Coturnix japonica: one gene and its partner. The protein of the gene in region 2 interacts with the protein of the main gene of each other region in a biochemical or structural test. Links are inferred from orthologs where the notes say so. Each region holds a gene or a part of one and is shown on either strand. Other genes may lie near its edges.

Region 1 (4,297 bases), on a different chromosome or scaffold from region 2:
TGCCAGCTAAGCCGTAGGCATATTCTGGTTTACATGTAATCCGACAGATTTCACCAACCTTCATAGTTGCTACAGCAATGTCCCATGCTTTTATCACCTCACCTGCACAAAGCAAGTTTTTATCATGAATGCTAGGTATACATGAAAGACAATCAGCTCTGTCAGTATATACAGGCTAAGATGAAATATTGACTTATGTTCATTCTGGGTTATATACATCAGTTTTATTTGTAATCAACTTACAAAGTTACTTGGGCACCCAAATTTAGCTGGTTTTTTTTTTTCATTCTACAGTGATTATTATTCTCCCCTCATTTCTTCACCCATACAGAACATAGGTAATCTAGACACAGATCATGCCTAAAGCACCTGACAAAATCTTAAGTGTGAGCAAGTAGCAATGCTCTTCAAAAAATAAGGTCTTAGGGTAAGAGACTGTCTGCTTGTATTTTGAAAACAGCCCACAATAGCCCAGTCTCTCTGCACTTTATCAGTTGGCAAAGGCCAACGTAAGTGGTAACTGAAAGTTGCGTGGGTTTATAACAGAAAGGGGAAGGAAAGTAGAACAAGTATCCCTCCTAAAGCCAAAGTAACAAAAACCTCTCAACTCAAGTGCTCCTACTTGTGGTTCCTTTCAGTTCAATCAAGTTGCCCTGTACCATTTGGTAAAATTCTATCATCCCAAATTTCAGGACTTCGTAGAGTTTATCTCCCAAATAAAAAGCCAGTAGGTAAAGAACTCCTAGTGATAACCACAGATTGAGTAGTAAATTTTGCAGGAACTAGGATGTTTGGATTTTCATACTCAAATCTGACTTACTTACAGACTTACTTCAACAGTTAGATCTGGGAGCTTAGGGATAGAGGGAGCATATTTCCTCTTTCCTTCAGTTGCAGCTGATAGCTGCCCCTGTGCACTCTGTCCCAGTACTTTCACATCCTTGCCCCAGTACCCAGCTACACTTAACTCTTCTTGAATTTGAGGCAACAAGATACAAAAGCAATACAAAAAACTATCAACAAAATATATGCTGCAGCTATTTAACTGCCTTTATTGCTGTATCTCACAGTAAACTCCCACTGAGGTGAGCATTGTATCTGAGGTCCTGTGAATTCTGAGCCAGATACACAGAATGCCCACTCAGAAAGATCTCAAAGCACTTCTGAGTTAATCTGTTTATATGAATTAACGATTAGCTCTGAAAACAAGTTAAAATAGTGATCTTAGTGAGTGAAAAAGTGTGCAAGAAAACTCCATCTCAATATTACTAAGATTGACCAAAAGCAAACATAAGTTATTACCTTTCCCCAGGTCAAATGAAAACTTGTCTCTCCTGTCCAGACTGGAGTCAAATTTTGTGCCATCAAGAAGCCATCCTGTATAATGGACAGTCACTTTATCACCGATCATCGGAGACTCTGTACCAGTGCCTTCTCTCTTGACAACCTGAAAAAAAAACAGTAAGCAACTCTAAAATGATCAAAACTACATTTGCCTATTGGACTTCAATTCTATTCGCTTAAGGCGTGTGACTTACCCTCTCCAGTCAACAACAGATTTGCAGGTATACTTCAGTTATCTAGAAATGTCACAACTAGCCTGTCTAAAGATAAGATTTCAAATGCAGGGAAAACAAAGGCAGCTCTGCTGCCACCAGGTCAAATCCTCTGGATACTATTCTGATACGAAGCTAGTGAACAATGAAAACAACATCTTCTGGAATCAGTGCTATGATAGTAGTACAAAATTGGTTTATGTCAGTTCAGTTAGACCTTTTCAACAGATGTAACCTGCATTCCTGCAACCACTACTACTACAAAAGAAAACTCTGGAGTCATGTGAGCTGGACTTCAAGACCTCCACAATGTTTTGCCTTATCAGCTCATAATCACACATTATTTATTTTTATAATGTTCATACAACCTCAGTTATTTTACCAGTATCCCCCTCCTCCTTTGTATTTTTATTATCACCTGCCTCTCCATCATCAAAGAATGGGTACTGCATATGGTAGAGAGATACAAGATGCCTTTTACAATGTTCGAGTAGCCAAGGTACCAGAGACCCGCAGGCAATTGGGGGTGTGCTTGTCACCAAGCACATCTATACCAGGCCCAAGTGTAAAACGTGCCACCTCAGGCTCCAAGCCATGCTTATATTAAGACAGAGTGCCCCCATTTTCAGGCTGTGAGAAATAACTAGTTCAGCCTACACAGCGCTGCACTGCTCAGCACCATCTACATAGATAAAAGCCATACACACACTTTTGCCAAGGCACCATCTTTAATTCCAGCGTCCGACCACGTGCTGGGGGCGGGACTGATCTGCTCAACCCCCCCCAAACTAGAGAGCAGAGAGCTCAGCCTGGCTCTCCCAAACCCACGCGGGACACAGGGAGGGACGCCTCGTCTTCCCCCCCACTTCTCCCTTGGGATTTCCTCACGGAAAGCGTGGGCTCCTTCTCATTGCCAGCTCCCACGGGGAGCCCCGTACACGGGCAGCGCCTGCGCAGGCCGACACAGCCGCCTGCAGCGTTGCGGCTGATGTGTAAGTAACCATGAGGGCTGTACGAGCATAACGCTCGGTGAGCGGCCCGCTCACAGCCCTACCCGAGGGGAAGGGGCCAGCCGGCGGCGTGTCGGTGCCCGGGGAAGGAGGCCGAAGGAAGCGCCCGCTCGTAGGCCGCCCCTCAGGGCCTCACAACAGGCTAATACCCGAGTAGTAGACAGCGGCAGCCGCTCAGTACCTTGAGAACGCCCTCATCCCGCTTAGGGGTGATGTCCGTCCCCTCCAAGGGAGCCCCATCCGCTTTCATCTCTTCTGCCGTCATCCCGTCTGTCGCGGCCACCGCTGCTCTAGGGAAGGGCTGCCTGGTGGAGTCGGCACCGGCCGCCGCGTTGGGCTGGTACCGCGCCGCAGCTCCGGCTCCGAACAACGAGAGAACAAACGCCGCACACGCCTCCTCCTCCTTCTCTACCTTCACCGCAGCGCGAGCCCCAGAGCAGTGAGAAGGAGGAAGGGGAGGGGGAGAGGGAGGAGCCGAGAAGTTTCTAGAGAAGCGGCTGGGCTGTCGCAGAGCGGCCGCCTGTGGTAGGGGAGGATTAAAGGGCGCGTCGTGCCTTGGGGCGGGGAGAATGGAGCTGACTGAGGGATGTGGAGGGTGGAGAAGTTGAGGAGAAGCGGTTGGGCTGCGCTGAGCTGAGGTAGCGATCGGCAGGTGATGTGCTCGGCTTTTCCTGCATGATGGGGGTGCCAGGGTTTGCAGGGAGTTGTGGTTGCTGAGCTTCAGGTTTTTCCTTTTTCTTCCAAGCCTTGCTATAGTGTCCTGCTGCTAGTTTTGTTCCTAAGTGCATCGCTTTGGTGGCTTGTCTTACTGTGCGCTGGTAGGTGGTACGACTTTGTCTATATCTTTCAGATATCTGGCAGGAGATGCTGGCTTAGAACCTGTGTAGAAATCGTATTTGCTGGAAAAAACAAAGAGTGACAGACATTACAGGATACAAAGATGGTTCTAGTTAGGCAGAAAAACAAACTCTGAACTCAGATTACTAAGTATGGAGTGATCAAGCACTGGAATAGCCTGCCCAGGAAGGTTCAACACTTGCTCTACCACCAACATCTCTGACCTAGTGGTCAACATAGAAAAACTGAAGGCATTACTTTTGGGGCAGCCTTCCTTTAAAGATTTGCCAGAGATTAAAAAAAAGGTTTGAATATAAAAGAAGGGAAGAGAGTAACGTAGCTCTGCCATAGCTTTTTTTGAATTGCACTTATGTTGTTTAAAGCAGTGGTGCAACCCTTGGCAGCCCACAGGAGGGTACAGATATTCATCAGTCTAATGTTGTGCTATCAGTTTGTATGACACTGCTGCGTATGCCATTAAGAATGTCAGCTGCTGCCTGCAGTCAGGTTAAAACCTTTATATTAGCCTTTTTCAGCTACAGAGTTACCCCATTATCCTTGCTTTCCCTTGCTCAGCAGTAAATAGCAAAGCAAGTCCTTCGTTGTCCTTTAAACCTAGAAGAGAGAAAGTTGTTTCTCATCATTTACCACATCACAGCAGACTATAGGATATTGCTATGGCCCACATGCCTTAGAGACAAGCCTCTTTTATTTTCTTTTTCAAATGTAAAACTGTGGTATTAAACTCATCTCTTGCTTCAAAACCTAATTTAAAGAAAAATGAGTTGAGCAGAGCAGTTACACTACAGGCATGCATAGTAAGATCCAACCCCTCCATCGCAGGACTGGAAAAGGGCTCTGTATTTGCAGTTGAGGTTTCTGAGGTGTACTTCC
Region 2 (3,817 bases):
GTTCTGCAATAAAAGAAGCAAAGGTCTCACAGACAAGCTTCTCTTTCATTGCACAGCTCTAATTAATCCATGCAACAGTTCCATCCTATGCTGACTGAGATATTCTGTGGAAAAAAAAACCCAAAGTGATCATGACAGAAAAACTAATTATGGTTGAAAACAACCAAAAGTTTTGCTAGTTACATAGTGTGCTTGACTTTACAATCATAACATTGGGATGTAAAATTTTGTGCACATATAGTCTTACATTTTTAAAAACAAGTTGGAAAAGAAACAGAGTTGCATCACGTAGCAACTTCCAGACTTCCTCTACATTCATGCATACAAACACACACACACACACACGCCTTCCACCTCTCAGATGGCTCCAATTCTTCCTTTTCAGCCAGCCTCAGTCCCCACTCAACCTATTCTAAAATTTCCCTGGCCTTCTTCAGCTTTCGTCATTTCTGTGTGGTGTTTGTATGTCCCTCCTCTAGCCAGCTAACAAGAGAATGAATTCCAAAGCTCAAATTTAATGCTATTCCTTCATAGTGCCAATGTTAAAACAAGTATACCAACAGTCATTGAAGCAACTTAATTGTTGCTATGCAAAATGTTCAAAAACCAGAATAACTGCACTGGTCACATGGAGTGGCCAGCTGGCACTGCACTTTAGAGAAGTAAGAGATTTCTGAGTGCAAAATTTGGATTAATACTTAGATTTTACCTTCACTAAGCAGTGAAGACAGTAAGTCAGATGTTTGTAAGAAATCATACTTAACCAGGGAAAAAGAAGGAGCTAAAACAAGGTAGCAGCTGCTGATTCAGAGAACAGTCCAAACTGGCTTATTAAGGTGCAAAACTGCATCTGTAAGGTTTATCATTTCCAAGGATGGAACCTTAGCCTATTACAAACATTTACATACTCACATTATCTTATCCTGGACAGCCATCACACTAAGTAGTAACAGAAATGAAATGAACTTCCTATTTGCAGATCTGAACCACACAACTGCTTTGACAAACACTTCATTCCAAATGCACTTACTACAATTTCAGCTGCAAAATGACGAAATGGATGTTCTTCAATGCCTTCCAGTTGTTCAAGCTGAGCTGTCAATAATGGGTATTTCAGGCTTTTCATACAGCTGAAAAAAAACCCAACAGGTGAAACTTAAAATCTCACAGAAACTACAGCAATGTCAGCAATGGCCAACAACAAGGTCTATACTCATTTTGGATGCTGCTGTTCCAGATATTCCAAGAACAGAAGCAAAAATGTCTCCCATAGGAGCACTTCTTAAAATTCACCTCCAGAATAGATTATCCTCACTTTTGCACCTTTGAGTTGAAGCACCAGGACTGCCAAATGAGCTCCACATCACAGAGACTAATATTTCTTAATTTCCTTGTACTAAAAAATTATTTTTACTATTCTTGTTTCACTTCACAAATATGCAAAAGATGTTTTTTTCTTTTTGAAATACAGCATTAGTTTATATGTTGGCAGCACTGTAAAAACTTTAATAAGACTGTTTATTTACTGCATGCATAATAAGTGTCTACTGTTTATTTTGTTTCCTTACAGGAATATATTAAACTAATAGTAAATGCTCACAACTTCAGTAATTCTTCTTTCAGCTCCGTGTCATTGTATTCTGATGATTTTTCCATGTTTTTAACAACTTCATTCACAAAAGGTTTAGCAAAGTCCACGACTGCATTACAGCACTGACAGAGACCAAGTTTATCTTCTTGTATTTGTTGCTTTGTATATGGTACAGGCAAGGGAGTAAGCTGATCCATAATCATGGCCAAAGATAAGCCCACTGAGTAGGCCTTCTTGTTCTGAAGTTTCAAAAGCACTGAAACACAGAGAACATTTTAAGAAATTAAGTTAATGTTTGCTGGAGGAATGTGTGAAGAACAGGAACAGGACTGTATAAGAAAGTCTTCACTTTCAGGGGAGCAGAAGGACTAATATCTCAATTCAGATGTACAAGCCTAGCAAGACTTATCAGCTAATCTATTTCACAGTACTTAATATGACCATAGAATTGAGAATGATGCATTAAAGCAGTCTTGCATTTCCACACATTCCTCTTTTCTTTGTTGCAAACTCGCGAAGGCAGAAAAATCTGTCTTTTTATAACTAGACTAAAACAAAATAACATCCATTTATCTGGCCTGAAAAACCTCTTCACTGTGGCTTTCCTGCTATACTATTTCTTGTTTGACAAAAGACTTACTGCTCAGATCTGACTCTTCATTAAGCAGCTCAGAGCTGTTCTATACTCTGTGGCAAAAACAACACAGGGTCTTCCCACACTGAGGAAGCAGCACAAGCCACTTTCCATTTAAACTGATCTCAATGCACACTAGCTGCAGATCAGTTATGTAACAAAATACACATTTCTCATTAGCAAAGTGCTTCTCTTGTTAAATTCTAACTTGATTCAGTAATGCAGCTCAGAGACTGCTATAACTGGACTTAAACTTGATAAGAAGAAGGTGTGACTCAATTTCACATACCAAGAGAGAAACTACTACTTTTACCTACTTAACGAGTATCTCAATCTGTATTTTTAATTTTTGCATGTAAAACAGAATAATGCAGTTTTTCAATTCATATTTTTCAACTTGTTTCAATTACAAACAGAAGTTTTATAATTTTAAAGCTTTAAAAGTTAAATAATAAACTATCCAAACCTATGAGTCCACGTAATTCTATTTCTGTAATAAGGATGTGAGAGTTTTACAACTGTAAAAAATAACCAAATTTTGTGAATGAAGAAAAATGTTGGTTTTTCTTCTGAGGCTACCCATCTTATTTCAAATTCTCTTAAATTACTCCACCAAAGGCTAAATTAATTTTATAATGTCTGTCTTTGTCAGAAATCACATGAGAGAGTCACTGTTACCTGTCTGCAAAGGTTGAAGCAGTAACATGATAGTCTGGCACACCTTTTCTCCTGATGTCTGTTCAATCTGCTCAAGTAAACCCAAAAACAGTTCCTTTGGATTGCACAGCTACAAGAGATGGACAATATGTACATTTTAACCCCATAGTTATCAGATATAAACCAAACAAACAGGAGAGAAAAAACACATCACAAACCACAATGCAGAAACTCCTGAACAACAAGAAAACAGATTAGAATACCCAAAATTGTCTTAAAACTAATAAATATGAATAAATACATTCCTATAGTAAATGTACTGTTCTGAATGTATAAGCATGTACACTACAAGTTGAAAACACAGAAATCAAGTTTAGTGCCATCAGATTTGCTATGTTGTATAAGTACCTACTTTAGCTAGATATTCCTTAGTAGTAGAGAGAAAAGAAAAACCTCAGTGTGAATTTGGCTTACTTTGCAAATTGTTTTCAAAGTAGATAAATGAAAAAGAACTGAAAGGGAATCTCCGACAGATTAAATCTTATTTCCCCATGACTTCACCAGAATTATCAGATACTCAATGTCACAACCCAAATCCTGCCAGAGTCCACTAAGTGTCTGGAGAACACTCTCAGATGTCAGACTTGAATTCTGGGTGGCCCTGTGTGTAGCCAGGAGTTGGACTTGATGAAACTTGTGTGTACCTTCCAATCATTCTGCGATCTGCCATAGGCACAGGTAGCTTTGCTGTGGCTACATTAACTGCAAAAGCTGGTCGCTAAGAACTTTGTATTGGACAATGTCTAGCTCCGTTTTGTCTAAAATTGTCTATATTTATTAAAAAATTAACTACCTCTCAGAATGTTATCGTTGTGTCTACTTCAGATAAAACTGGTCCATGAGTTTAACAGTGATGTGGAATGGGCAGAAGAACT

The links.
Region 1: the proteins of GLMN (region 2) and FKBP4 form a complex in vitro, tested with the Homo sapiens proteins (2 studies listed by BioGRID). The link is inferred for Coturnix japonica from reciprocal best matches to the Homo sapiens genes GLMN and FKBP4.

What each region holds. Positions count from the first base shown.
Region 1 is NC_029516.1:68,427,589-68,431,885, forward strand, and holds the start of FKBP4 (peptidyl-prolyl cis-trans isomerase FKBP4), read right to left. Parts: upstream 3,031-4,297; 5' UTR 2,832-3,030; coding exon 2,748-2,831; intron 1,448-2,747; coding exon 1,303-1,447; intron 103-1,302; coding exon 1-102. UniProt on the Homo sapiens protein: Immunophilin protein with PPIase and co-chaperone activities. Component of steroid receptors heterocomplexes through interaction with heat-shock protein 90 (HSP90).
Region 2 is NC_029523.1:12,315,707-12,319,523, reverse strand, and holds part of GLMN (glomulin), read right to left. Parts: intron 3,013-3,817; coding exon 2,904-3,012; intron 1,848-2,903; coding exon 1,601-1,847; intron 1,131-1,600; coding exon 1,031-1,130; intron 1-1,030.